2 linked regions of the Nothobranchius furzeri genome follow. The protein of the gene in region 1 interacts with the protein of each later gene in a pairwise test. Links are inferred from orthologs where the notes say so. Each region holds a gene or a part of one and is shown in the gene's direction. Other genes may lie near its edges. The genes, in order: rassf5 and rassf2b.

The links.
Region 2: the proteins of rassf5 (region 1) and rassf2b interact in binary tests that used the Homo sapiens proteins (3 or more experiments, as listed by UniProt). The link is inferred for Nothobranchius furzeri from reciprocal best matches to the Homo sapiens genes RASSF5 and RASSF2.

The regions. Positions count from the first base shown.
Region 1 is NC_091743.1:51,035,039-51,051,267, reverse strand, and holds part of rassf5 (ras association domain-containing protein 5), read left to right. Parts: intron 1-7,390; coding exon 7,391-7,518; intron 7,519-10,511; exon of another isoform or gene 10,512-10,647; coding exon of another isoform or gene 10,648-10,794; intron 10,795-16,229. UniProt on the Homo sapiens protein: Potential tumor suppressor. Seems to be involved in lymphocyte adhesion by linking RAP1A activation upon T-cell receptor or chemokine stimulation to integrin activation.
Region 2 is NC_091757.1:55,229,493-55,242,810, forward strand, and holds the start of rassf2b (ras association domain-containing protein 2b), read left to right. Parts: upstream 1-7,371; 5' UTR 7,372-7,433; coding exon 7,434-7,730; intron 7,731-8,427; coding exon 8,428-8,501; intron 8,502-11,261; coding exon 11,262-11,337; intron 11,338-11,545; coding exon 11,546-11,697; intron 11,698-12,078; coding exon 12,079-12,194; intron 12,195-13,318. UniProt on the Homo sapiens protein: Potential tumor suppressor. Acts as a KRAS-specific effector protein. May promote apoptosis and cell cycle arrest. Stabilizes STK3/MST2 by protecting it from proteasomal degradation.

The DNA.
Region 1 (16,229 bases):
AATTCTGCTTCCCAAAACAGGAGCACCAGAGCTCTTTTTCCAAAGAAAACAACTCACAAGTGCATTCATCATTACTAGAAACTACAGCAAATGCACTGAAAAAACAAGAGGAGACCTTTAAGTAGTGCAGTCAGACTGTCAGGCATGGCTCAGGTAGGCTGATTAATGCTGAGTGAACAGAGAGCAAGTTTGAGAACCTGAGCGAATAAACCAGACAGCCACAATCTGTTATTGCTCCCAAAAATGAATTCTAATGTAAACATCTAGATGAGGTGGCTTTTGGCTGTGTCTAAAGAGTCTTCTGCAGATATGGTTCTTTAATAGCACAGATGTAAAGATGAATTTACACCATGTTTTTTTTTTTTTTTTTTTTTTTTACTTCCTGAAGCTTTCACTGATGTTGTCGGTCCACAAAAACATTCTCACGAAGCAAACTAATTTTACCCAGCTGTGTTTGTTTGCAGACAGTAAATAAATCAAGATTTGCAGGATGTTTGTTTGGTTCGTTTAGGGAGCATCTGTAGCTGCACAGATGGAGCTCTAAAGAGAGGACGCAAGACTCTTCTGATGGAGATTAGCAGCGTCAAACGTAAAACACAAACACACACAGATTTGGGAGGGTGTGTGTGTGTGTAATCTTTTATGTATTTCTGGGATTAGACATGTTCAGTTCTGTCTAGTGGGTCAGAAGAATATTATCCTGGTGAGGATGGAAAGACTGAGTTAAAGGGTGTTCTTTCTTCCAAGGTTTACACAAAGGAGAGCAGATATAACTGCTCCAAATCAGCTGTGACAGGATCAGACGTGCTAAAGCCCCCAAAGACCCCCAAAGCTGCTTTAAACTCCTCCTTAGACCTGCGCAGCCTGCTTTAGGTTCATTAGAGACTGTGTTAATACATTTGCTCTCATGTTAAAGCTACCTAACCCCTCTATCCCAAACCAGACAGCCCCTCTCTATCTGCTGCCATACAGACATCCTCTGTGACCCGAGAAAGTCTCCTAATCAGTGTTTTCCACACTCTTCTGTCTGCCTCACACCCACTGTCTCAGAAATAAAAACAACCACCCATATCACCTATCTGGTCATTCCTGTCTTAGTACAGGTTGTGATTGCACACACAGGAACATCTCAGGTTACATTAAAATGAAGCTGATGAGAGAAAACATTCTGGCTTCATATAAAGACAATAATGAACAGAAATGAGAGGCAGTGTCCTTGAGTTGCTAAATATTTTCTTTCTGCAGCCGCTGCTGTTGATCTCTGCAGCAGTGGATGTTAAAGGGACCATATCGTGGAAAATCTACTTTTTTGTAGCTTTTTGCCATGTGATATTGTTATTTCCTCATGAAAACAATCCCCAAACCCATTTTTGACTGCATTCATGTATTTTCCTGTATCAGCTGCAAATTTGGAGTTTTCCTTAACTTCTGCATCGGGGGCAAAACACCACCATAAAGACTGTGCATCCTGTCTACTTAGATGCATGCAATGGCCAGCACAGGATGTCTGTGTTAGGCAGCTATTGTTTTATAAGATACATTATAGTCTAGTGGTTAAGATGCTGGTGATTTTTTTTTCTTTTGGGGTGGGACCATCGACATATACATATATGGACAATGGGTTTCCATAGACTCCAATAACACGTTTTTGAAGAAAAATGGGAGGTAGCTACCACCGCCATTTTGACCGTGTCACAGGTTCCGTCAAGCCCAGACAATTCCACAAAAGGGAAGAGAGGTGGAGCTGAGGGTGGGGCTGTAAGGCTGGGATCAACTGATGACACCCAGTCGAACTAGCTACAAGCTAACCTGAAGCTAACCCAAAGCTAACGCAGAGGTGGGAGCTAAGCTAACGGAGGTAGCAACCTAGCTACAACCGGAGTTAACTGTGCACAACACCAGAGCTTCTGAGTCAGAGATACGCCGGGCTGACCGCTGGGTAAAACCGGGTGGAACACAGAGGTCACCCGAGAGCTCAACAAGCCGGCAGCCGCACAGCAGACAAGCGCCGCTGCGATCTGAGATGCGCAGAGCTGCCGCTGGGGAGAACCGGGTGGAAAGGTTTCCATCCCAGAGCTCCACAAGCCGTCAGCCCGCGCAGCACACAGAAGCCGCGATCAGAGATGCGCCGAGCTGCGGGGAGGGGAGAACCGGGTGGAAAACATCTGTCTCCCGAGAGCTCCACAAGCCGATAGTCGGAACCCAGCTCCACCAACACGTTATATTTCAACCCATTTTCTAAAGTGCAGCATTATGTTAAATGCACTGGGTTTTACCCTATTACATTTAAATTTCATGGTTAAACAGTACATGTTAAAATCTAAGCTCAGCTCGGCAGTGACCTAAAATACATAAATATAATTTTACTTACTGAAATAAATGAAGTGGAGACTCCTTGGATGCTCTATTAGTGCAATTAATGCCACAACAAGTCATTTTGTCCAACAATTGCACAAAAAACATCCAAAAAAGGATACGCAAACGGCACAACTAATGGTCTAAGTTGAGAGACTGAAAATGACCGAACAGTTTTCAGGCGAGGCTGAGGCTCAGACTGAAGCCTTTCCCCGGAGCTAGCTCTGTGGTCACGTGGGTCGGATGCTCATTAATTGTACAGAATTTTAAGCTTTTAATACACTTAAACAGAAGAGTGAGAAAAAAATTCACCCCCCTCAGAGTTGTCATGAGTGTAAACTAGATCATTTAAACCAAAAACATGTTTTGGTACCAGGCTGTAAACGTGTTTATTTATGCTGTGAAATTGGTATTTTTAACATGGGAGTCAATGAGGATTAGCTCACTTCTGACACCAGCCCCCAGCGGATGAGGGTGGAACTGCAATTTATTTCACTTTCGCATTGGACTCAATTTCTGTCCCGCATTGTGGGGGCTTGGGTGGGACACACTTAGATGTTAGATGTGCTAACCACATATCGCCACTGGGGGTGCCAAATTATCATTCTTATGAATCGACAATGGCACCAAATTAAAAAGACTGAAAAAAGCAAAATACACATATCAAGAAAAACACACATTAGCAACAATGAAACATGATCCCATCCACAGAAGCAGCTATTTAAATTATAGCTTAGATTGTCCTCTTTACACTAATATGAGTACCATTACTCTACCTGCAAAACTCATAGAGCAACGCAAAGCAAACAAAACTAATGTCATGAAGTCAAAAGCATAAATTCAATGTTACATTTGCTGGTTTTTAGTCATAATAATCTGTGTTATTGTAAAAAAAAAAACTACTTGGTTCCTGTCATCCAATGTCCCAACGTCACACTAAGGTGATTCATGACGGTCTTGTGCTTTTTTTTTAACTGCTTTAGAGGGTTTACACATCTCTGATGCAGCATTCCATAATTTTCTGGTTTTTCATAATTAAAAAACTAGGGATGGACAGTATATCGGCATCAATATCGGTATCGGTCGATGTTAGTCATTTTTTTAACATATTGGTATCGGTTCGATAAATAAAACCGGGCCGATATTAACAACCAATATTTTTTCCATCTCGTCTCCATTTGATTGCCTGTTTCAGAGGGTGGGTGGGGGTGGGGGTGATGTGTAATTGTTTAGTCATGTCAACAGTGAATGAAATCTTCTCAGAAACGTAAATGTGTGTGGTGTGTGTACATAATAACATAAATTCAGTTTTAATAATTTTCATTCTATACAAAATCTGCTGATTTTAGAAGCATTGATGTCAGTATATTGGTATCGATATCGGCCATAACAGTGATCTTTATATCGGTTATCGGTATCGGCCCAAAAATGTCATCTCGGTGCATCATTAAAAAAAACTACACAAGGTGTACTCAGCTGTTCTAAAACAAAGAACAGTGAACAAAAAAAAAGATGAAGTGTGGAGAGCTTCCGGTTCAGGGTGAACATCCTGAACTGAGCTGAGCTGAGACTCCACCCGGTTTTGGTCACAAAACCTTTGCACCCAAAGGTTCTCCTATTCTTTGTAGTGGGGGGGATCCAGTGCACATGCACCAGTTAGCGTAGATCAGTGGTAGCGTTTGCTGCGCCAGAAAGTAACAGGAAATATGTCACAAGATGATTCGGTGAAATAACATTTTTAAACTACACTTAAATGCAGATTATACACAGCACTTATAGTCTGTATGATGTATCGATCACTTAGTTTATTTTTCATGTTTTTTTTTTTGTATCCATTTGTGATTCCTATCTTCTTCTTGTAAGACTAGTGGAGTGGCATCTTAGCGCCCCCCAATGGACCATTTCACCATTGATGAAAACCCATTTAACCTACCCCCGTTGAGGTCATTAGCATCTATTGTTTGGGAGTAGTATTGATTAGATGCTAGAGAGTGCGATCTAGTCCTATACTGAAACTTGGAATTAGGTTCAGAGCTGCATTATAGCTGCTGGAAAGGTGAAACCTGAGTCCTCCTCTTTTATTTAATGTCGGCTTTTCTCATTTGACATAGAAGTCTTCCTGTACTCCTCTCTCAAACCATCTGTCTTCTCTGTTCTGAATGTGTACCTTTCTCACCTTCAGTAGCATCAGTATTCCAGTCAGAATTGATTAAACTCCACCAGGAGTTGCGTCAGCAAATGGCAAAACAAGATGAAAGGCAGGTGCCTTTGACCAGCTGACTATCAAGGCCAAAACAACAGCAAGCTTGACTAACTTGTAGATGCGTTTTGTCGGAGTGGGCGGAGTTTCACTGAAACAAACGTTTAAATTCAGGCAGAATGACATCTCACAGTAATATATTCATATATTTTCCTACCTTTGCTTTCAACTATTTAAAATAGCATGATATGGCTCCTTTAATACAACCATCACAAAAAGATCTTTACATGCGTCTCCTCCATTGGACTGGTGGGAGGGACTTTTTCATCCGTCACTCTGCAACATCGTCCTGGATCTCTCTCTGTCTGGGAAATTTGGGTTATTGAATCTTTTGTGATCAAATGTGGGTACTCCAACCCATGTTTCAAAACAAACAAGTGGCAACCCCTCGTCTGTTTTCTTTCTTGACTAATGTGGACGATAGAGATTGAAGACTATTTTCATGCATTTGAAACTCAGAGTGACCAGTCGTTATTTGAATAGATCAAGTAATGTACTTTCTCTGTCAGCCTCCCTCTGAAGGTCATTCTTGTCCAAGTCTCTAGATGAGTTGGCTATTCTTTTGAGTTTTTTACATCGAAACCCCCGACATCTCCAGAAGTTGGATGTTCTAAATTAATCAACTTCTTCATCTGACAGCTTGTGAAGCAACGTACTTTCCAGAGAGGAGACAAGGGAAACTCCCCCAGCTGGTTCCAGTGAACTGTAAAGGTCCAACACTCCATTCAACAACATTAGACAGTTAAACCTGATTTTATCTCCACACTTTCTCTTTCACTCTTTCTTGTGTCGACATGCCCGAAGCTTGGCTCAAGTTTTACTTTTAACATTCAAAACGAATCCCACAACTCATCGACCTAAACAGACCGTAAATCCATGCTAATTAATTTCTTGAAAGGTGGCAAGATGAGCGTAAATCTGCCCCAAAGGTGGAGGCAATAAAAGTGTCTGTCCACATTATAGATGGATGGAAAGACAAGGACAGGAAAGGAGTTTCTCTTTTCCCATTCCCATGGTGGCTTCCTTTGCCTCTGTTTATCTGCAGTGACCTCTAAACTGTCCTGAGCGGAGCATCCCTTATCTGAAGCCTCTCCTGTTCTTGACACATCCCACCCTGTCATGGAGGTGATTCACCCTTTCCCTCTCACTCTGGATCTCTGCTAACCACTCAGTCAGACACACATCATTAACAGGAGCTTCACCACTAGCTCCCTCTGCCTTTACCCCTCTTTACCACAGAGTTGGAAAAGCTACAGTTTTTTTAATGATTTGAATAAAGACATACAGTAATCTAATCTTTTATTAATGTAGCATTCATTTCCAGGAGATCAGGTGTTTTTAGGGAGGCACTGGCCATCAAATTCCTCATTACCATGGTGACGGGAATGTAAGTAATGCATCAGTGCCTCCCATTCTTTCCAGAGCCACACTAAAATCAGCCAAAAATTACAAATATAATAAAAAACATCCCAGGAAAAACAATTCCAGAAGATCCTGTACAGCTCGCTCTCCTTCTGTTAGCATTAACCAGTGATTAGGTACTTCATTTCAGACTGGGTTTGAGTCTGAATTCAAGTCACGTTTGTGAGTTGACTCAAGGAGCATGGCGATGACTTGCACTTGGACCTGAACTTGGACTTAAGCTTGGACTCATACCCTAACATGTGGAAATGTGGCGCGACTTGTTTGAAGTATCCAACATAACAAGGGGAGTCCAGACGTGTGGTGCAATTTGCTTTAATAGATTTCTTCTCAGAGTGAGGAGAAATCTGCATCAGATGTATGAAATGCAGGAGGACAATAGAAGACAAGACTAGGACATCTGAATGTCCCTACATTACCACCAAGCTAACAAAGCAGCATGCAGCAAAATAATATAACATGCTTAACTGAAAACAATAATCAACATGCCACCTGTCCACTTAGGGTATGTGACATGTAACCAGAGTTGTCCAGTAATCTGACCTAAGCTAATGTTAGCATCGTTAGCATGCTAGAATTGACAATAGCAATTTCACTTAATTTTCTGGGTGTAAATGTAGCAAGTGGAGGTTAAACTGGAAATCTTTTGGGACTTGGATGTGAATTGTGAGACCAAGGGACTTGACTGAAACTCAACTTGGATTTCACTTGGACTCTAAAACTAGGGACTCAAGTGTGACTTGGACTCGAGATATGGCGACTTGACTACAAGACTGGCGTTAACATGCCACCAGCTGGGGAGAAAGGAGATCAGTGCGAAAGTCTGTGACCACAACTAGCTCTGAGAGGCGTAATGGGGAACTAGCTGGAAAATGTAGAACAACAGACTGGAACTAATTTGGTTTATTCCTGTATCTCTAAAGCAGGTGAGAGCTGAACCTGCCAACCTTTTTCCAGCTTTGAGTGTTTAAGTGGAGTCGATCTATTGCTGTGGGACATTATGTTTGTCAGCAGCCATTAGCTCCTTGATGTATCCATTATCGACCTTCTAATGCACCTGTACTTGAAGAGGCTTGAACAGAAAAGGCAGCTACATTAATGAGATCGCAATTTATAGATCTCCTAATACATTAATGGTCATTTAGCCGTGGTATCTCATTTTGTTTATTTGTGTATCTTCAGTGTGCAGGAATAAGTAATTTATGACTGATTTCTGCCACTAGATGGAGCCATTGTCTTAATTTCTAACTCACCCTCTTGCAAGTCACAAACCATCTTTATAGTCTCTTAGAAGGATAACTGTAGTGTATTTGTTATGATAAATACATTATATTGTTGTGTTTTGTTATGTAGACTGCAGCTACACCTGCCACCTGGAGTGTAAGAGTCATGTCCAGCTTGACTGCTACCAGAGGAACAGAGAGCCACAGGAAAGCCCACATCCTAGAAGCCCCTGCTCCTCCACGGCTCCTCCAATCAAGGTGAGTCCTCTGGAGACTGAGCATTTATTTAGAGAAAAGAATGGAAGTGAAGACCTTCCACACACTGAACTCAGTCCACTCATGTGCTATTTTAGTTGCTTCTGCCTCCACCCTCCTCCTCCTCATGTTTAGTCTTTCCATCATCTCTCTCTGCTGCAGGTTTATTTAGTTATTACCAGATCATAATACCCTGACTTCCTTGTGTGTTCCCAAATAGAGGAAAACCAATTAGGTTAATCTGTGATTTCTCCTGGGACCGTCATGGCAACGCATCTGTGGCTCAGCAATTTCTCTCTCTCTCTCTCTCTCTCTCTCTCTCTCTCTCTCTCTCTCTCTCTCTCTCTCTCTCTCTCTCTCTCTCTCTATCTCTCCATTCTCTGGAAACAACATTAAGACTGATTCGTAATTCTGCAAATTAACCACAATAATCTAGTGTTTCGTAAAGATGCATCATCTCCAAAAACCTACGCTTGGTTGAACCAACCTGCTTGAGCCTCTGAGGTATGGCTGCTTAGGTCAAATTTTGAAATGACTCGTCAGCGAAGACCTAGTTCACATGGCAGACATTTAACATTTGCGTACAAGAAACCACACACGTTATGACAAAAAAATCATGGAAGTGACAGTTTTGGTCATACTGTGTCCAGCCAAACGACAAAATCTGCACACAAATTGCGGTCAGACAGGAAATCTCACTAAAACCTCTCGATATCAAGCGTGAATTAAGAGTAAATAAACTTCAACGGGAAGCATGCTTGTTTGTCTTTAACACTGAGCAAACTACAGTTCAACATGTTCAATATCCCCAATTTATAATGTTAGCAGTCGCGGCGTGCTTCCCAGCAGACCAGATCGCTCCTAACACACCACACACGGCAGGATTATCTGAACTCCTAAAGACTGTTGGATGGGGAGAATCCTGGTGATTATCTTGTCATGTGACCCGGTCTTTACATGTTCAATGTGAGCCCAATAACGAATAAATTGACTGAGCCACATTCATATGTGTGCGGCGGCCATATTTAATGAGGTGAATTCCAAATATTATTCAGATTTAGATACAATGATTATTCTCTGACATATTCATTAGTACCTTGTGAATCATGAGATATTTTGCTAACAGACACACAAAACCATCACTTCCTGCCTTTTGTACTTTAGCAGTAAAACAACCCTGGTTTTATTACTTAATGAAAGTTAAAGAACCAACAAATAAAAGCTGGATGCTTACAAAATGAAACAGACAGCGAGAGGACTCTGTAATGAAAATAAACATGATGTATATGTTTTAAAGTGAACTCTTAGGTAAAGAACTTGTGTTCAGGGATGTAAAAAGACTCAAATGAATCTTATATTTGTGCAAACTGATCTCTGTGAGCAAAATCAGTGTTGACCTAATTACACACGAATCAGAATGCACGCCGTCTGTCCTGCAGGTATCTGAGCTCAGTGATTGAGGCTTGTATTCGTGCTCGCTGTGGCTTGGTTCATACTGTCTACCACAGCAGCTCTGCAGACCAAAGAGAAAAACATGACAGGTTATTTCCTGCAGTTCTGTTTTTCTGCCTTCGCTGTAATCTTTCAGTAGATGTGTGTGTGAGTGTTTCCCTCTATTCTTCTTTTGCTTACTGTGTATCTCAGCAAAAATTGATCCCCAAACTGCACAAGTCGATGCACCAGGCAGGTTTTATTGACCTGAAACCAGCAGGCACGGTCGTTTCCTATGCATGCGTGTTGATGTGTAGCACCCCGCCATGCATCGATAGGGCCTAGGAGAAAATCCGGAGATGGTCACTGAAGGCAACAGATTACAAGATCTTCCAAATCTAAGTTGTCCCTTTTTTCTGTGCCTGTGCAGATTATTTGACTCATTTCACAAAAGCAGCTTGTGCCATCGTTGTCATGGATGGCTGGGATGCTAGCTGCTTTAGGACAGGGGGAGGTGGCTGCCAGAGTGGAAGGGCAGATCATGTGGTCAATAAAAGGTCAGAGGTCGCTGTTAACCCACCTCTTCACCAATATCATGATAATTTTGAGTTGTTCTAGATTGTGTTTAATATACTAACCTCTGGTTCTGGTTTCCAGTCAAGCATGGCGTGCAGCCATGCCTCCCTCACCCCACTGCTGCTTCCTGTCTACATATTCAGTGTAAACGGCATCTTTGATCGGCTTCATGTCTCTAACTCATCGACGTTTCTCTTTCTGTTTATTCACGCCTCTCCCTCTCTCTTGCTTTCGTCTTCTGTGGGAGGAAGTGGCCGTGCTCTGCAGGGTGCAGTTGCCTGCAGGAAGAGAGACAGAGAGAGGAGGGAGAAGAGGGAGAAGGGGGAGGGTACTCTCAGCCTGATAACACACTCAACCACAGATGGTTGTGAGAGAGTGAGGGAGAGAAAACGGTTGCAGAGGCAGAGAGGAGCTTGTGTGGGAGGAATCACTTTCTTCTCGTCAAAGCAATGGAGAGAGGAGTCTTGTCGCTGCAGACAAAATAAACTCAGCCACTGCGTGCTGTTGACTCCAGACGTGGACGGATGCCCTAACAAACCAACGCTGCTTCTGAAACCTGGACTTGAGTTTATTCCTTTGCAGCCGTGCCGCTGGACCAAAGGAGGATGTGGTTTTGCATGAATGCCTTTACTTGTTTTGTGAGTAGAACAGGTGCTCTCAGGTGTGCAGGGCTAACCTAAAACCAGCCTGTAAACTGACTCCGCCACACTGACGTCTGCCTGCATGAAGGACGACCAAACTATGTGTGAATAAGTGCAAGTGAGCTGCAGACAGCCAGGTCCTCCTCGGCCTGTTTTTGACACCAGCATCAGAGCATTCTCGAGCACACGCTCATCAGGAGGAAGTGACACGTCTGTGCTCGTTCTCATATTTCCTGGTCTCCTCTCCAGTGGCACTCAAAGAGCCGATTTCAAGCCAATCTCACCTGCTTCACCCCTCGCAGGTGGAACTTTCTGAATGGCGTCGGCGGAGGAGCACTAAACCGCTTGTGGATGAGCAAAGGAAACTTTGTGTCACTTCATTCCGGGACAACCCATCAGACGCTTGCTCCAACCTGTCAACGCGCTGCCTGGGCGCTGTTCTGGTGCTATTCTGGTGCTGGTAGCTGTCCTCGTGGACTTCTCCATGACTGTCAGTACGGTGCTGACCACCTCCATGACCGGCAGTAACAGCATGAGCAGCGGGTACTGCAGCCTGGATGAGGAGAGCGAGGACTTCACCTTCTTTACCGCTAAGACCTCGTTCTTCCGCAAACCCAAGCATGCAGCCAAGGTAAAGATCAGAATTGCACCGATGGAGGATTTCATGACAACAAGGAAGCCTTAGATTGATGACAAGTGAATGTTTCAGTGAGAACAGGAGAGAAGCTGACATTTATTTCATAAAAAATTTAAAATAAGTAACATGTAGCTCGAAAGCAGAAGTCAGGAGAGGAAGTGGTGATGTTTGAGCAGGCCTTTAGGTGTGTGTGTGTGTGTGTGTGTGTGTGTGTGTGTGTGTGTGTGTGTGTGTGTGTGTGTGTGTGTGTGTGTGTGTGTGTGTGTGTGTTGTGAGAATGTAGGAGGAGGTTACCGTCAGACATCTGCATTGTGTAACTGGTTCATCAGCCTTAGTGCTTCAAGCTGCTCGTTTATCAATCAGACTCGCATAGATTCACTAGGACCAGATCACTTTGTGTGTGTGTGTGTGTGTGTGTGTGTGTGTGTGTGTGTGTGTGTGTGTGTGTGTGTGTGTGTGTGTGTGTGTGTGTGTGTGTGTGTGTGTGTAGGGGGTTGTTCACCTCTAAATGCAGCCTGCAGAGATAATGTGTGTGTTGGTTAATGATCTTAACTGCCAGACTCCATATTGGTTTCCTTTCTACATTGAGTGTGTGTGTGCATGCATGTGCACATGTGTGCAAGTGTGTGTGTGTGCACGCACGTGCATATTTGCAAAAATTGGTGTCTGCTTACCCATACTTTGTAGTTACCATAGCAACTCCTGGTTTGTTTTGCATTTTCAAAGATCTCTCTGATCTGCATTGACACATAATTTTGTAAAACACCACTAGCGGCCCTTTTAGATTGCTGATTGTTTACCAGAGAGGTTCAGTGCTTAACGGCTGATTGACTGTCAGTAAAACGGTGCAGTGGAAGGACAGGTGACGGCGGTCCTTTTGATGCGTGACATCCTTGTGCTGTCCCTGTCCTGCTCTCCCTACAGAGTCGGACTCGGAAAAGCTCTGATCTCTGAATAATTGACCAGCTGTGTTGTCAGCATGCAGAGTTAGGGTTGCTGCCATGCTGACACAAAGGGGTATAGAGGTTAGGCAGTGTGGCCTGTCAGCATCCAGGCTGATTACCCTGAAGCCAGAGACAATGGTGGGAGCTAAACATCTGACCTGTTAGCTAGAGAGTAGGAGTGTTTCAGCTGCTTCAGAAGGAAGCGTATTCTAATCAGCTCTCTGTTGTGGCTTTGTGTTTGAATATGATAAAGAGAAATTCAAATCTCTTCTCTGTGACTGGAAGAAGCATCACTGTAGTCTGTAAAACTCTAAATAAACGTGTTGCAGGGTCTTTAACTCACCGACAAAAGTGATCACATCCATCCAGGCAGTGGAGTTCAGATCCTCTGTTCTTCATGAATTATTTCCAGAGCTGAGCCTTTTGCTCCAGATTAGCCAGCTGGAGAGAGCACGTGTATGTGTGTTGTGTAGAGTGAATGAATTACATCCATGTCGACTTGAAACAAATGCAGAGTCGCATGTCATTTTTGGCTCGCAGTACACATCAGGCCAGATGTTGATGTCTGGTGCTACTTAGATGGACTAGCTCCTAGCTTAATATTTGTGTGGCACAATTTAAAATAAAGGTTATCCTGACAATCTGACACTTTTACTTAGTTGTCAAATAAGTTGGATTATTTTTTGTTTTAGTAATAAAAAGTTATTGGAGGTAGAAGAATGCTGGACCATTGAAATAATTAGCTTTAAATGTAAAAAAAAATAGTCACACTTAGGGGTATTAGCATAAATCTGGTGATACGATATATACCACGATACAGGAGAGACGATACAATATATCACGAATGTATTGCGATACACTAAGCCAGATGATATTTTTTAGACTGAATTTATTGTAGGAAATGTTCATAAAGAGTCCAAACTTAAACATAACATATTTAACATGAAATATCTGAACCATAATAGAGAATAAAATCCATTGCACACTGCTGCCAACTAGAGGTCAGAGTTTGAATTGCACAAAAAGAAAAAAAATGTGACGGGAAAAATAAAACAAAAATATGAGGATGTTTAAAAAAAAATTAAAATTATTCCAAGTCATTATTTTACCTTATTCGTCTCGTCTTCCTCCGCTTATCCGGGTCCGGGTCGCGGGGGCAGCATCCCAACTAGGGAGCTCCAGGCCGTCCTCTCCCCGGCCTTGTCCACCAGCTCCTCCGGCAGGACCCCAAGGCGTTCCCGGACCAGATTGGAGATATAACTTCTCCAACGTGTCCTGGGTCGACCCGGGGGCCTTCTGCCGGCAGGACATGCCCGAAACACCTCCCCAGGGAGGCGTCCAGGAGGCATCCTGACCAGATGCCCAAACCACCTCAACTGGCTCCTTTCGATCCGGAGGAGCAGCGGTTCTACTCCGAGTCCCTCCCGAATGTCCGAGCTCCTCACCCTATCTCTAAGGCTGAGCCCGGCCACCCTACGGAGGAAACTCATTTCGGCCGCTTGTATCCGCGATCTCGTTCTTTCGGTCATTACCCAAAGCTCATGACCATAGGTGAGGATTGGGACGTAGATCGACCGGTAAATCGAGAGCCTGGCTTTCTGGCTCAGCTCCCTCTTCCCCACGACAGATCGGCTCAGCGTCCGCATCACTGCAGACGCCGAACCAATCCGCCTGTCGATCTCCCGATCCCTCCTACCCTCACTCGTGAACAAGACCCCGAGATACTTAAACTCCTCCACTTGAGGTAGGACCTCTCCCCCGACCCGGAGGTGGCAAGCCACCCTTTTCCGGTCGAGAACCATGGTCTCAGATTTGGAGGTGCTGATCCTCATCCCAGCCGCTTCACATTCGGCCGCGAACCTACCCAGCAAGAGCTGAAGGTCAGAGCTGGATGAAGCTAGGAGGACCACATCATCCGCAAAAAGCAGAGACGAGATTCTCCTGCCACCAAACTCGACACACTCCACACCACGGCTGCGTCTAGAAATTCTGTCCATAAAAGTGATGAATGACCGTGTCCCCAGGGGCACCCTGTGGGGGACGCTCCAGGAGTATGGGGTGGGTGGCTTTCTGTTAAGGGCCATTCAGTCCCTTTACCAGAGGAGCGTGAGTTTGGTCCGCATAGCCGGTAGTAAGTCGGACCTGTTCCCAGTGAGGGTTGGACTCCGCCAGGGCTGCCCTTTGTCACCGGTTCTGTTCATCACTTTATTTTACCTTATTAATATTGTTATTCTAATGTTATTATTTTCATTGTTTTGTAGCTTCTAGTGCCTCAAATTATTTAAAAGCTGTAAAATAAAATATATTTCATTGCTTTTTTCTTGCTGTGGAAATTACAAAATATAAAAAAACACATCTGGTTTATTTTTCCTATATTAATACAGTATGTTTTGTCCAACCTTCCAGTGTCAAAGTTTTGCAGTAGTCCAGATTCTGATCTGTCACTTTTTTATTTTTGTCCAAAAGACAGTAAATAAATAGCTCCTTTTAGGTTTCTTGGACACACAAAAAATAAGCTCTTTTTTTATTATTATTTTCCATGGAACATTATGTATCAATGTATTTTCATGGCCATGATTGACTTCAGTTCTCACCTACAAAAATTCAAGAAACTGTATCAGTTCAAATCAAACATACGTGTTGTTATAATGTCTAGTCAGTTCAAGCCAAAATAAATAACAGGGAATGGCACCACGGTGGTTCAGTTGGTAGCTCTGTGGCCAAGCAGCAAGAAGGTTACAGGTTTGAATCCCAGTTGCATCCTTTCAGCATAAAGTTATTATGTTCTCCTCATGCATGCGTGGGTTCTCCGGGTTCCTCCCACAGAACAAAAACATGCAGGTTAGGTAATGTGTAGTTATTTATCTCTGAGTGCTCCTGTGATAAACTAGAGACCTGTCTGACTCGGTTTTAATGTGGCAGCCTGAGATCATCAGTGGTCCCCATCTGGCCACCCTTTTCTGGACGTGCCCCTGCAACAGCACTTCCTAGACTACATTCCATTCCATTACATTCCATTTATTTGATAAAGCACATTTAAAAACAGCATGTGAGCTGACCAAAGTGCTGTACAGGGGTAAAAACATATAGGGTTAAAAGAATAATATAAAAGAATGAAACAACTAGAGCAAAACACAAAGAACCATGAGAAGTCAATAAAATCAGTAAACGAACAGTGTAAATAAACCATCGATAAAATAGCTAGGTAGTAAAAGCAAGAGAATAAAAATAAGTCTTTAAGTGGGACTTAAAAACCCCAATGGAGGAGGAGATTCTGATATTCAGTGGGAGGTCATTCCAAAATTTTGGAGCGCAGACAGAAAAAGCTCGTTCACCACGGGTTTTGCAGCGTTGACGGGGAATCTGTAGTAGGTGTAGGTCACCTGAACGGAGAGTCCTGCCTGGCACATAAGGAGTGAGTAACTCGGATATGTAGGGTGGTGCTAAGCCATTCAGCGCCTTAAAAACAAACAATAAAATTTTTAAACGTATGCGGTAGTGCACAGGAAGCCAGTGAAGTCTTGATAAAATTGGAGTGATGTGCTGACGACGGCCAGTATTGGTCAGAAATCTTGCCGTCGTATTTTGTATCAGCTGAAGGCGAGATAATGCGGCCTTTGAAATACCAAACAGAATTGCGTTGGAGTAGTCCAACCTTGAGGTGATGAAAGCGTGAATGGTTGTCTCGAGGTGGCGCCGATTCAGAATGGGTTTTAGTTTGGAAAGACGTCTCAGCTGATAAAAACATTATTTAACCATGTGATTAACGTGAGAGTCCATTTTTAGAGCCACATCCATTTTAATTCCAAGATTAACAATTGTTTGACTAATTTTAAAAGGAAGAGCAGAAAAATCAGGAGCGGAGGAAGACGAGCCATTAGGAGTAAAAACAATAAACTCGGTCTTAAAATCATTCAGCAGCAAAAGATTTGCTGACAGCCAGTCTTTAACCTCACTCAGGCAATCAAGGAGCGGCTGGATGGAGGTAAAAGCCTTCAATGGAACATAAATCTGGCAGTCGTCCGCATAAAGATGAAAGTTAATTTTAAACTTCCTGAAGATTAGTCCCAGTGGAATAATATAAATGCTAAATAAAAGGGGGCCGAGGATAGACCCCTGTGGAACGCCCCAAGGAAGAGCAGCAGAGGGAGATGAACAGTCGTCCATTCTAACTCTAATAGACCTGTTGTCAAAGTAGGAGCAGAACCAGTCAAGCGCGGATCCCTTAATGCCGACCAAATTCTCAAGGCGGGACAATAAAATGTCATGGTCCACCGTGTCAAATGCAGCTGAGAGGTCCAACATCACCAGGGCAACATGGGAACCGGAATCAGTGGCTAAAATAATATCATTAAAAACCCTGATGTGAGCGGATTCTGTGCTGTGATATTGTCTAAAACCAGACTGAAATTTATCCAAGACCCCAAAGTTGTTCAGATGGGGCATGATTTGATTATAAACAGCCTTTTCCATCACTTTTGACAA
Region 2 (13,318 bases), on another chromosome or scaffold:
GAGGACGACACCTGCTGGTCACCTTGTTAAGAGCCTTGTTATTGGCAGCTGAGTGAACCTGCCTTGTCACATAAAGATGAATATTAGTCGTGATGTGCCTAAAAACTGCTTCCTGCTGTTTTTGACCCCCAACGCTAAAAAAAATGTATTTCCTATTTTAGGAGTTGTTACAGAAGTAGCCCATTTACAGTAAAGTCTTCTTTTTCTGGCCCGATTTACATTAGAGGCAGTTGAACTGATGGCTCTTAAGAAGGTAACCATTAGGTTAAAACACAAAGATATTGATCCCTTTCAGTTATTTTGAAGGGGGCTCTACCTGATGATTATATTTCTGTGTAAAGAGTTTTATCGTTTTCAGTGTTTGTTTTTATACATCATTTTTATGTTTTTGCAAGCAGATATTTGTAATAAAAATCTACTTTTAATCTTAAATCATGCTGAAAAGTGCACCATCTTGTTATACTTTTTATTTAAAAGTATATATCGATTTGAAGTTTGTGGTTTAATGACATCTTTCTGCCTCTTAGGACCTTAACATATTGTATTTTTTTACTCTTTAACATTGTTTTCTGCTCATGTTACACATTACCAGTATAAATCAAAAGAGCAAGTTGAGAAAAGTAGATGTAAAGAAATCAAAAACATGTATATTTAATGTTTACAGAATATTCAGGAAGATGAATTGTGTAAACTAATTGTAACAATAAAATGATTTATTCTTTGTTCTTAAAAATATTTAATAAGAAGTTAAATAATTCTGTCTTGTGTCTTTTCTCTCAGTTTAGTAATGCCACCAATTGGCCAGCAGGGGTCGATATTGCACATGCAGAGTTTAATTCGTTGGTAAACAACTCCCATCGCCTCATCAAATAACCCATCACTGGTTATTTTAGTAAATGTTTGCTTAGTAAATTTTAAAAAATGCAATGAATTGGAATACAGGTTTTGTTTTCTTCTCTGCTTTCAACAGAAAAAGACTAAGGTAAATAAAACATTAAATTTAATAATAGAAAAGGTCACAAAACTAAAATATAAGGTGAACAGAAATAAGTTACAGTGAAGCCACTTTCAAGCAACTGCACTGGTATCGGTTAACTTACCGATAACGATACCGTATTTATTTATTTCACCCCGTCAGTGAGAACTTATTTTTTGTTTATTCCTTTTATTTTAGATCGTAATATTTCAAGTCTGCTTGTTATCTCTTCTTTTGTCACGTGTCAGTCAGGTTCTATAGAAATGGGTCTTTTAGATCTAGTAATCAGGCCTGGGTGTGGTTGGTGAAACGGAGATCAGCTTTCCAAAGAATGCTGTCGGTCACAGTTAAATCGTTGTTTTAGAAGAGGGGATCGCCTTTTTTATTGAGTTTGGAAAAGTTGTCTTTTTTATTGTGAAAGTGACGTGGTTTCAATTATATCGAACCAAGGCTTAAGAAATTACCTACTGGTCTGAGTAAATGAATACAAATAAACGTCTTGTAAAACAGGAACGAACATGTTTGACTAGTTTGCTTAAACTTGAGCATTTTTCTCATTCGCAATGAAGACGAGGTCCTTTTAATAACAATGAACTGTGTGCGCGCGCGTCCTCGTTTTTCCCCCATTGTTGTCACGTTTTCATTCATTTCTGCGCGCGACGTGAACAACAAAGGCACGTCGGTCTCGCGCGACGCTTCTGAGAGCTCTGCCACAGCAGATGGACCACTTCTCCTCCTACCAGTTCTTCTGGACTCCCAGCCGCACTAGTCGCCCCTGCTGTTTGTTTCCAACGGTAGAAGCACGAGTCAACCGTTAACGGACAACCGAGGAGGAAGGAGCAGCGGAACCGAGGAGAAACACGGTAGGTTAGCCGTTAAAGGGTCCCCGAAAGTCGGCGTGATACAATCACAAGGGTCGCTGTAGCTAACTCGGGTTATTGTGATGATTTCTTTAGGAAGGTGTAACGAAATGCTCTTGAGTGGGTGGTTTATTTGTTTAGGTAGAAGAATAGGTTAAATTTAAATCGCTTATCACCAAAAAAAAAGCCTCAATGACACATTTTTACGTAGTTTAGCTTTTTCAGAACAAACCTTGAACATAAAACGACCGAAACTGCTTCTGTTTGACGCATTGGGTCCAGCGCTGGACTGACCATAGGGCATAGCGGGCAACTGCCCGCTGGGCCGACCCTTTCATCTTTTATGGGCCGGTGTCTGTTTTTTTTTTTTTTTTTCCTGGCCTCTAGTTGTTGCGGACAACTTGCCCGCGCCGCCCCACGCGACGCCTCGTAAAAGTTGGTGGATTGGCCAATTGGTAATAATACACTCTGGGCTGGACCAATAGCCAGAGGTCTGATGCACCCGCCAGTTGTTTGTGAATCTCAGTAAACAGACAGACGAGCTTAACAAAATGGAGAACAAAAAACGGAAAGGAGAAGCGGAGAAAATTCGACTAAAAAAGAAACTGGCCCTTCAGGCTGATGCTGGCACATGTGTTAAAATCTCACAGTTGTTTGGTAGTGAAGGTTCAAGTAAAATCAATTAAGGAAGTGATGGAGCCTCAGCCCAGCGACAGGTTGGAGAAGAAAAGAGGGAGGAGAAGGAGAAACCCGAGCCGGTGTTGTGCCATAAATTGACTCGCTGCCAAAAAATGATTAGCCACCGCGGGATCGCGCACGGTTAGGCAATTGCATTTCTAGACAAAATTCCCCAGGATTTCGCCCTAAAACTCAGCATATCTAGCAATATGGACATTCAGAAAGCAAAGATAACCTCTTCCGGTACTTAAACAGATGTTTATCGCGGATATTAGTGTGGCAGTGTTTGTGGCACCCTGCGCGGGAGCACGAGGACGTGCTTGTGGAAAGAGGGAGGAAGATGTGGCAGTGTGAGCATCCACAACATCCCGATTGATGATGAGCCCTGGCTACTTGTCCAAAGAGATGTTCCTTTGGCTGACTGGTTAGAGTGTTTGACTTCCACCCGGGAGTCTGGGGTCGAATCCCGCCCGGGCACTCGTTTCTCCACCTTGCCGCATTAGTTTTTCCAGTTCGGAAGTTGTTTTAAGTGTTGCTATTTGTCTTAAACGTTCACAATGAGGATATATTAATCCTTTTTGCAATATTTGCGATTGAAAGATGGTTTGTGCCACAAACTTTGTGGTAAGAACTGGCTTTCTTTATGTTACAGCCTTGATACTAAAAAAATAAATAAACAATGTAAAATGGCACCCTGTATTGAATGTAAACGTTGTATAAATGGAAATAAACAATTCTCCAGCGATTTAATTTTTTCCCCTTCCCTTCTTTAGTCCACTTGACATGGAGCCACAGTTAACTAGTTTGGGGCACATTTTTACTTGAAAAAAAGTATTTAAAATGATCAAGCTTTGGCTTTACAATGACACTGTGTAGGTTGCTATCTTTACATTACGTTGCTCTATTTAAAAGTAACAAGATAAAAGCACTTCAGCACATAAAATCAAGATTGTCACTTGCCAAATAGACTACACCCTCCAGTTTACCTATAAGAAATGCCTCAAAATATCTTTAAATTCTTTATTGATGATTTAATTGTAGACAACTAAAATGGCATTTTACTTGCCAAAAAGTGATTGAATCGCTAAGATTTTCATGGAGGCTAAAATTGACCAAATAAGGGTTTTATGTATTATCTGTTGACGTTACTGTACTCATACTGCCTACTGTGTCATCAAAAACACCCCAAAAATGGCAAAAAAAAAAAAAAAAAAAAAAAAGAAGATAATTTCCCTTGCCAAAAATTGATTACAGTGTCCTGGTCACCTGTAAAGGGTTACATTTACCTAAATATTACTTTATTTATTATCTCTTGATGTTATTAGTGCCATCACAGGATGCCGGTGTCTTTCACATTCATAAACACCTCAAAAATGGCAACAAATGATCATTTCCCTTGCCAAAAATTGATTACAGTGTCCTGGTCACGTGTAAAGGGTTAAATTGACCTAAATATTACCTTATTTATTATCTCTTGATGTTATTAGTGCCATCACAGGATGCTGGGTGTCTTCCACATTCATAAACACAGAGTCCTGGTCACCCATAAAGGCTTAAATTGGCATAAATATTACTTCATGTATTATGATGCTGGGTGTGTTCCACAATCATATTCGAATAAACGTGAAAATATTCTGTCCGAATATCTGTTTCTTGTTATAAATATAACAGCTAGAAGGATTTACAGTTAAAATAGGAGAAACACGTGACTCCCCAGGAAGGGTCGTAACACCACTTGCCTCATGCACATAAGTGAACAAAACAAAGCAGCATGGAGACACTCCGTCTCCAACCACCTCTCAGGCAGCAGCCTGCACTCCCAAGTTCTACACGTCACCAGAACATAACCAACCGCAACACAATAAAAGCAGTGTTATACAAAATGGAAGGCCTGTAGTGTTTATTCTCTTACAGTAACAACTTATCAATTTTTTGGAGGAATTTATTTGAGAATTTTTTGGTTTTTATTAATTGTGCAATAGAAAAGTAATCGCTAGATTAATCATCTAAATAGTCATTAGAATAGTCGACTTTTCGATAAAATAATCGTCAGAATAATCATTTTAAAAATAATCAGTTACCCCCTACCCTACTTTTTAGAATACCAGGATAGGAAGGATGGTGTAGGTTTACGTTTATTAGATTGATACATAAATACTACCAATAAGAAAGTGTACGTTGGTGTGTGTCAGAAACAGCATAAGGCTTAATGTCTTTTCCAAAAAAAACAGGTGATGGGCCGGTCTCCAGTCAAAATGCCCGGGCTGAATTTTTGTCCCAGTCCAGCCCTGATTGGGTCTAATAACGGAGTTCATTTAACCATGTCTGAAGAAAACGGGTTGCATAAGCAGGAGATGTTTAAGATTCCTCTCAGCACACATGGCAGCCACACAGAGGAAGTGCACATTCGGTTAATCCAAGTTTTCTTCTTTGGTTTTTGGTGTTTCTGAAGCATTTTAGTGATGGTGAGTAGTAGCCTAGTGAACCAAATTATTCCTGTGCAAATTTTATTAGTTAAAGTTGAATTTATTTAGTCTGGCTTGCCAGGCTAGAAAAACATTAGATTCCCAAAGAAAACCAGAGCTTAGGTTCACTATCATTGGAAGTTAGATCAAAATTAGACCTTTTGCAGGTTTTCAGTGATCTATAGGGCAGCTTGTTCTGTCTTACAAAGCTCCAAAGATTTGTTATAAATAACTATACAATTAAAACAATGCTACCTATTTTTACAGGAATTTGCAGCTTTGCATTTAGTGAAGAGTGACCAGCAGATCTGGCTGGAACCTGAAGCCGTTTTGGATTCGGCCTTGCAGGGTTTTTGACAACTCCAGAAGCAGAAACACTATTTTTGGCCCAGCATTGTAGGCCAGTTGTCAGAGCTGACTTTTTTCTTGGTGTTGCTATGGCAATAGTGACAATACAAGCAGTAGTGATGCAGAGGCTGGAAAGCAGGATGGTGGGTTTTGGGAGAGGACAGGGGGAGGTTTGGGGCTATTCAGGGACCGTCTCAGCAAGGGGTAAGACGTTGACAGAGGAGGTTTGGAGCCGATGGGGCAAGAGGGCAGAAAAAAGGCAACGTGTATGTGAATGAAAGGTATTCGGGGAAAAGAAGTCAGGAAGTTGGAGTGTTGGGTGAAGCTGAATGAGACGATCATGGCAGGATCAAATCAACTTTATTTATAAAGTGCTTTCACATGCCCAAAACGGACAGACAAAGCGCTGTACACCAATAAAAATCACAACAATAAAACAGACATATAACCATTTAAAATACAATAAGAAATCCCGAGTACAAGTTCTCAGTCCATATCAGTCCTTTTTCTAGAATCAGATCCAGACACATTCAAAGTGATGCTGCCCACGCAATCCCAACTTCAGTGTCCAAACGCCAGCGAGAACAGATGTGTTTTTAGTCGGCTTTTAAAGGTCTCCAGTGATTTGGCCTGCTTTACGTCGGCTTGCAGCTCATTCCAAAGACTTGGTCCGAGCGCTGAAAAGGCACGACTCCCACGAGACTTCAGGCTGTACCTGGGCACGGTTAATAGTCTCTGGTCAGCTGACCTAAGGGAACGCACCGGGACATGTCGGTGGATGATGTCAGAAAGGTATTTAGGTGCCCCTGAGTTTAACGCCTTAAACACAAACAGGATAACCTTAAACCTGATGCGATAGGAGACAGGGAGCCAATGCAAGGCACGTAGGACTGGTGTAATATGTTCAGACCTCCCGGTAGATGTTAACAACCGAGCTACTGGAGCTTGCCTAAGCCCCGGCAATATAGCGAGTTGCAATAATCCAGCCTGCAGGTAACAAAGGCATGGGTCACAGTTTCCAGATGACTTGAATGAATTGGACGTTCGTATACTGAGTGGTTATGAGCCTGAACAACGGAGCAGACTGAGGAGAACGAGGCGTAAAGCGAGTATCGGTACTCTGGGGAGTTAGTTGCATTTGGACTGGTTTCCAGAACAGCAGTCTGATGTGAAACAGAACTGGGTCAGGCATGAGTTCATCTGTTTGTATTCATATGCCGATGTTGGCTCTGTTACTTCGGTCTTCGTGTAAAATAGAAATCATCCTTATAAAGAGGAGGAGTTCTGGTTAGTAACCCTCTGGAGCCGGGCGTTGCAGATTTGCAAGAGTTAAAACCCACCTGGTTACTCCCTGTATGTCCTTCATGAGCATTTTCAACTCAGAAGCACCCCTGAAGGACTTAAATGTTCGTCCTTTTATCAAAACTTATTTAGAGCCTGAGAGGGTTAAAAGCTAAAGCTGGCCATGACTCTTGGTGCTTTTGGCTCAACATCTGGGATAAAACAACCACAACAAAACAACACCTATTTAAGAGCGGGTCAGTTAAACTGAGTCAGATTATTCTCTAGATTACACGTTGTTTCTGCCAGGTGCTAATCCCTAAAGTCAAAGTGGTGTGCTCTGTTACAAAACAACAAAAACTAACTCCTGATCATTTAGATTTTAAAGCTTTGTCCCGTGGTTTGACAAAATTGTGATCCCTTCAGCCGGGTGCAAAATGAAAACAACACCAAGTGCATCAGTTAATCCAGATTAGATCATTATCTCCAGGCCGGCAGCTACTCTGGTCTGAACCTGTTTTTGTTATCAGATGTCAGTAAAGATGCCCTGTGATACCACCTCTGTCACAGACCATTGGCATCATTAATAGTCTTTTAGTGAAGCTGCCTTTGTCAGCATTACCTGATACGTGATATTAAAGCCTAATGACTGCCATTGTGTAGGTCAGCGGTGAGCTGTTGGAGCTTCACACGACTAATATTGGTGCTGAAATATTGATGGGTCTTCTTGGCATGAGACTTGGCTGATTGATAATTAATATTTAACGTGTCCATTTATTTCAGAGATTGACAGCCTTGGGTTGTTTATCAGCACTGAATCTAATCATGTCTCTTACTCCATGGTCGTTTAAGGAAGTTTTAGGCTGTATAAGAAGTGTCAGTTTCCTGTGTGACTTACTGAGTAAAGGAGGAAGCTGTTTGACGGAAGGGGAGCACTTCCTTTTACACACTCTCCTCCCCGTTAGTGCCACGCTCGGAAGAAAAGACCCTCGTGGGCCGTTTTATACCAATTCCCACTACCTGAGGATACGAACCGTCAACCTGTTTAACCCTTCACTCTCTCTCCACACAGGAAACTCCGCCTCTCTGGTGATTCAGCAGAAATCTACGAGCTTCACTACGGTAAGGAGGAATTAAACGTGTATTCGTCTCATATTTGTGTTTCTGTTTTTAAAAACTACAAAAAAATAATTTTTACTTCAATATTTCCTTTTTTAAAATGTAACCTTATTCGCTGACACACAGACCCAGTGACCAGCTTTACTTCCTGAAATTCAAACACACATTATTTGAATTCAAACGCGTTTAGCTTTGTTTTTGCTCGTTTAATAGCTATAGACATGACGGATGAATGTTTATGTGTACTATCAGTCACGTGGTCAAAGATAAATGTTTAAGCAGCAGGTGGCTCGTGTGTCCCACACCTGTTTTAGGTCTTTCCGAAACCTTCTGTCGTGCCAAATGGACACAAAACACTCATTGAATCCTCACAGTGGGAAGGCTGAGTGCCAGTTTTAACAGCTGCATGTGTGAATTATGTGTTTATATGTTGATGGGACAGATAAGACTAAAGCAACTGCAAATGTTTAGCTTACTTAGAGATGCTTTGTTTTGGGGGATTTTGGGGCAGAAAACGGTTTACAGGAAAGCAGATATGATCTGTTATTGTTTACGGTCTGGAGCTTAACATTCTCCTCCTCTTCCTGCTGTCCTGTTACTCCTCTTCAGACTGTCCTTTCTGTGCCTGAACTCGTCATGAGGAGTCATGAGACCTAATCGGTTGTATGAACACTAACTCTGTTACTTCTTTGTCTCTCAGCTCCTCTCATGCTGGCTGAGAATGGATGAAATACGGGACGGGGTGCAGATCGGAGAGAACAAGTTTATCAGCAAGTACGGATTCATTTTCACGCTTTGCGTGTGTGTGTGTGTGTGTGCTGTTGTTGATTTGTGCGGTTTAACTTTTTATTTATTTATTTATTTTTTTGCTACAAAACAAAAATGTTTGAAATTGTTCTTCAAGCTTCTATAGAGCAAATGAAACTTTGTTGGGGCTCAAAATAACCCAGGAGCTCTGGAAATGGTCAAACACAACCCCGTAACAAAGCCCTAAAACTCAAAGTAAGGTTTGCCCCAGAGCTGTGTGCTAGTATGCTGGTTAAAGCCGGGCGGACACTGTGCGACTTTTTCACTCGTAGCACTCAGCTTCAGCTCAAACTGTACGACTTCCTCGCAGGGCAGATCTCACGAGCCATGCGCTCCCACTGTACGTCTGGTAGCAACACGTCGGACCTAAAAATATGCTAAAAATAGCAGTTTTTACACAACACGTCAGACTTTTTTGTCTTATCTGTTGTCCTTCGGGAGTGCTGCAGGAGGACACACGGGGATTTATGGGGCTTGGATGAGGAAAACGAAATAAAGAAAGTAAATCTGTGTGTTGTGATCAGTTTAATTTGACATGAACACGACAAACAAGCTTTCTAGAACAGACTTTGAGAGTAAAAAAACGTGTAGAAACAAAAATGAACAATGTGTGTTATTAGGGAAATAGCGGGGAGCGGCGTTGATGCATGACTGTGCATGCGCCGTGAGCGGTTCTGGTACTTTTTGGGTCACAGCTGCTCGCAGCGCCGCTTCAACAGTGCGATACCCTCACGAGGGACGAGCAAAATATCAAACACCAGAAGTCCGTGCGAGCTCACCATTGCTGATCAGCAGCTGGTCACGTGGTGTTAATCGCCTCTCGTACACGACACGACCGCTCAGCACAAAACTCGCCCTGATCTTCTGGATTCTCGCATGAGTTGAAAATCGGTTCATAAAAGTGAAAAAGTTACACAGTGTACGCCCGGCTTTAGCAGCCTGAAGTTAGAAACTCTTTGCAGCTGCACAGTATCCAGATAACTCGATAGGAAAGCTGTGGATCTATCTGGTATTCATTCATAGTTTGGATATTCCCAGTACATCCCAGAACACGTTTGCTCTGACATTCCTCTTTGTCATTTTCTTCAAATCCAACAAGGATGTTGGCAGTAGCTCGAGCTAGCATTAGCGGTGGCTCAGGCCAGAGTTGTTTTGCAGTTAGCTTTACCTCCACCAACATTTACATTTTCCCAGCATTGAAAATAGTTCAGACATGCAAATGTAAGTCATTGTTTATGACGTGTTAAACCCGCTCTTCTCAGAACGAACCGTTTCTGTGGCCTTTACTAATTTGCATAGGAATCCTAAGCCACGCCCATGTTTTTCTGGACCATGGGTTCCCAACTGCCCAAAAAATGAATGGGAATCTATGAGCCATTAAAAGTAATTCTCTGATCCAGTTTGATATGTGTCATGGGTTTCACACATGATGTCCGTGAATGTTTGAGACTAAAGCCCAGCCCGGCCGCGTTTGTTCCACACTGCCTTAGGAATACGGATGTGATGTCATGAGCGCATCTCCGAGCACGTGGGCGGGGAAAAAGAGCGCGGAGAAGTCTGCGGCGGGTCCATTATTAAACAAAAGCGGGAAGCTCCCGTGGGTAGGCGTGCTTTTGAGCAAGCCTATCAGTCAGCAGTGGGTGTGTTGGCCCTGTTTGGCTCTAGGCGACGAAGGCTGAAAAGACGTCCGGTTGCGCTCGGGAAAATTCAAGGCTGCCTGAATGAGAAAACTCCCAACTCGGTCCAGGCAGAGTGGAGCTGAAGCTAGTGTGTAGAGGCTATTAAGCTTGGTTTATGCTTGACGCATTCACTTCCCGCTTGGTGATGCGGCTTGCAGATGGAACATGCTTAACAACTCGCAGCGTTTATGGTTCGTGCGGCTCGTCTCTGCGGTGAGCCAATATTCTCCCAAACTGTAGGGGGCAGCATGGAGCTCTACGGCATGCATCCAACACTACACCATAGTAGAAGTAGAAATTACTGTTTACAACACGGCATTCCAGCATTTTTAACAGCGTCCTCGTCTTTTCCGACAGTGCGAGCTATTTCTCTCCAAGAATTATTAACAACATGTTGATCACGGTGATCTCTGAGAGCTGAATCATACAAATGTCTGTATTTACGAACCTCTGCCATACTAGTTCTTGCCAGTCCGCCATGTTTTTCCGCGTCCGACCGTCCGCGTGGTTAGAAAATTTCCTAGGTGCGCGGTGGAGGGGCGTGGTTGTTAAAATGATGCAACTTTGCTGCGCGGACCTCGCGGACGCGTCAAGCATAAACCAAGCTTTAGGCTCCCTCCGGAGAAGCAGGTTAGAGAGGGCACAGACGTTTTGGCGCGCTACATTAGAGACCCCAAGCTGCCCTTATTCATCAACAAGGTAGATGTGGTTCTGAGTTTAGGACCACTGAGAACTGGTGTTTTACTGCCTGGTTTATTATAAAATCAGACCCTAAACGCCTAAACAATTGCCCCTCGGGGATGATTAAAGTTTTTTTTTTTATTGAATTGAATTAAGAGATTAACACGCGCATGGCTGAGAAAAGAAAAGGTTTCCATGTTCATGCAGAATTGTTATATTGCAATAAAGCTTTAATTTAATTCTAACTACAGCAAATCAATTGAACCTCATTTATTATGTTCTGTAAAAATGTTTGCCTGACTCCGACTGGCCCGGTTCTTTGTAAACAACATTTTCTCCAGCAGTGATTCAGTTTTTCTGTCCTCAGGGCAACGGTTCTCTCACATCTTAAAACCTACAACCTTTATTATGAGGGACAGAATCTGCAGCTGCGGCACAGAGAAGTGAGTAATCACTGCTGTCGGTTACTTTCGTGTCTAAATTTCTGCTAAAGGATCCCAATGTTCTCAGTCTTTAATCCGTTTGACCTTTTTACATTTTCACTCAGTCCTTTGCAGTAAAACACACACTACGCATTACACCATCCAGTCCAAAGGGGTAGTGACAGTCCGCGGTGTGTGTTCATTGATCATAGTTTCTGCCTCCAAACAGGAAGAAGGAGAGCTGATCGTCGAGGGATTGCTAAATATCTTTTGGGGCCTGAGGCGACCAATCAGGCTTCAGATGCAGGATGACCACGAGCGAATTCGACCGCCGCCCTCTTCCACATCCTGGCACTCTGGCTGCAATCTGGACAGTCAAGAGTAAGTGAACCAGACTGATCCGGTTACACCTCAGTGACTGGAAGCAGGTCGGCGGGGGCGGAGATAGACTATCACATTTATCCTAGAAAGGTCAGAGTGTGTGAATTGATTTTAGAATGAGTCTTCATTAAGTTATTTTTTAAATGTGTTGAAATTGTTAAGAAAAATAAAATTATTGTTAAATCTACTGAGATTAATTTAGTATCAAATCAATGCTACTTGGCAGAAATGTCTGAATACAGCCTCTAGCCTTACCTGCGCTGCATACACCTCATATTTAAACTCTACTTTGATCTCTAAAATATTTTAGATATTTAAACTTTTTATGCAGCTCTTTGCTTTTGTCTTTTTAAATATTTCCCAACTGTTTTCTATTTGCAGTTCCCCCAACAACACAGACGGCCAGCAGGCCTCCACACAGACTCCGCCCACCGTGGAGGTGACGGCACCTGATGATCAGCTTGAGGACAACGGCGTCATGGAAGAGCATGCAGACGGTGAGGTTCCTTAATGACTGCATGAATAATAAAACGACTCATGCTTTTCTTATTTTATTCTCAAATGGTTCTGATCCGTTCTAAAAATCCTAGATATATGCTCTCTGTCGCCCTCTCCAGGCTTGCTGCGTAATGTCGCTGTGGTAAAATAAAATCTGTCACGATTAAAGGGACTTTACGGACTTTTGAATTTTAATGCTCGCGATTGCCCCCTCAGGCCAAAAGCGTAACGACAGCTTCAATAGTAGGCTCGTGCACGAGGCGTGCATGCTGTACGTGCACACTCCTTAACGAAAATAACAGCTGAGACAGTCCCGTGTGCGTGCGTGTGCGCGCGCGCGTGTGTGTGTGTGTGTCTGCTCTGTCTTCTCCATCCCCAGTGAGTCGTCAAGGATGGCTGCTTATACTGAGCCAGGATTCTCTGGAGGTTTCTTCCTGTTAAAAGGGAGTTTTCCTCTCCACTGTTGCTTTATGCTTGCTTAGTATGAGGATTGCTGTAAAGTCACTGACACTAGTCAGTGACTTGATGCAATTTACTGGGTTCCTTATATAGGAAACATTATTTCTGATTGGCTTAATGAACTGACCTGAATTGGAATGTTTATTATGTGAAGTGCCTTGAGACGACTCTTGTCGTGATTTGGCGCTTTATAAATAAAATTGAATTGAATTGAATTGAATTGAACTGCATGCTCGGATCATTCCCTTCCCTTGCTTGAAAAATTGTTCCAAAATGAAAGTTGAACCCACATCTTTTTTATCTGTGAATTCAATGCCGTTCGGCGAGTCTCAAATAAAAATTTGGGCGTCTTACTGTAAAAAATATACCATTAATGTAAAAACGAAACTCTAAATAAACTATGTTCACACCCAGAATCAAACCCAGGTCTTCTGCGTCCAAGGTCTTACAAGGTGAGCTAAAGCGCCAGTGACGTCCCTTGTATCTGTAACATTTATATCCTTGATGACAGCTGAAACAACGTCAAACCAAAGAACGGTTCGGAGTGAAAATGGCTATTTTGTTGCTAATTAGCAGGAAATATCTAGAAGAAAGTTCTACAGAAAGTAGCTAAGGGTCCTCAGAAATGTAGCTAGCTTTGTCACTAGGCGTTAGGAACAGAGAC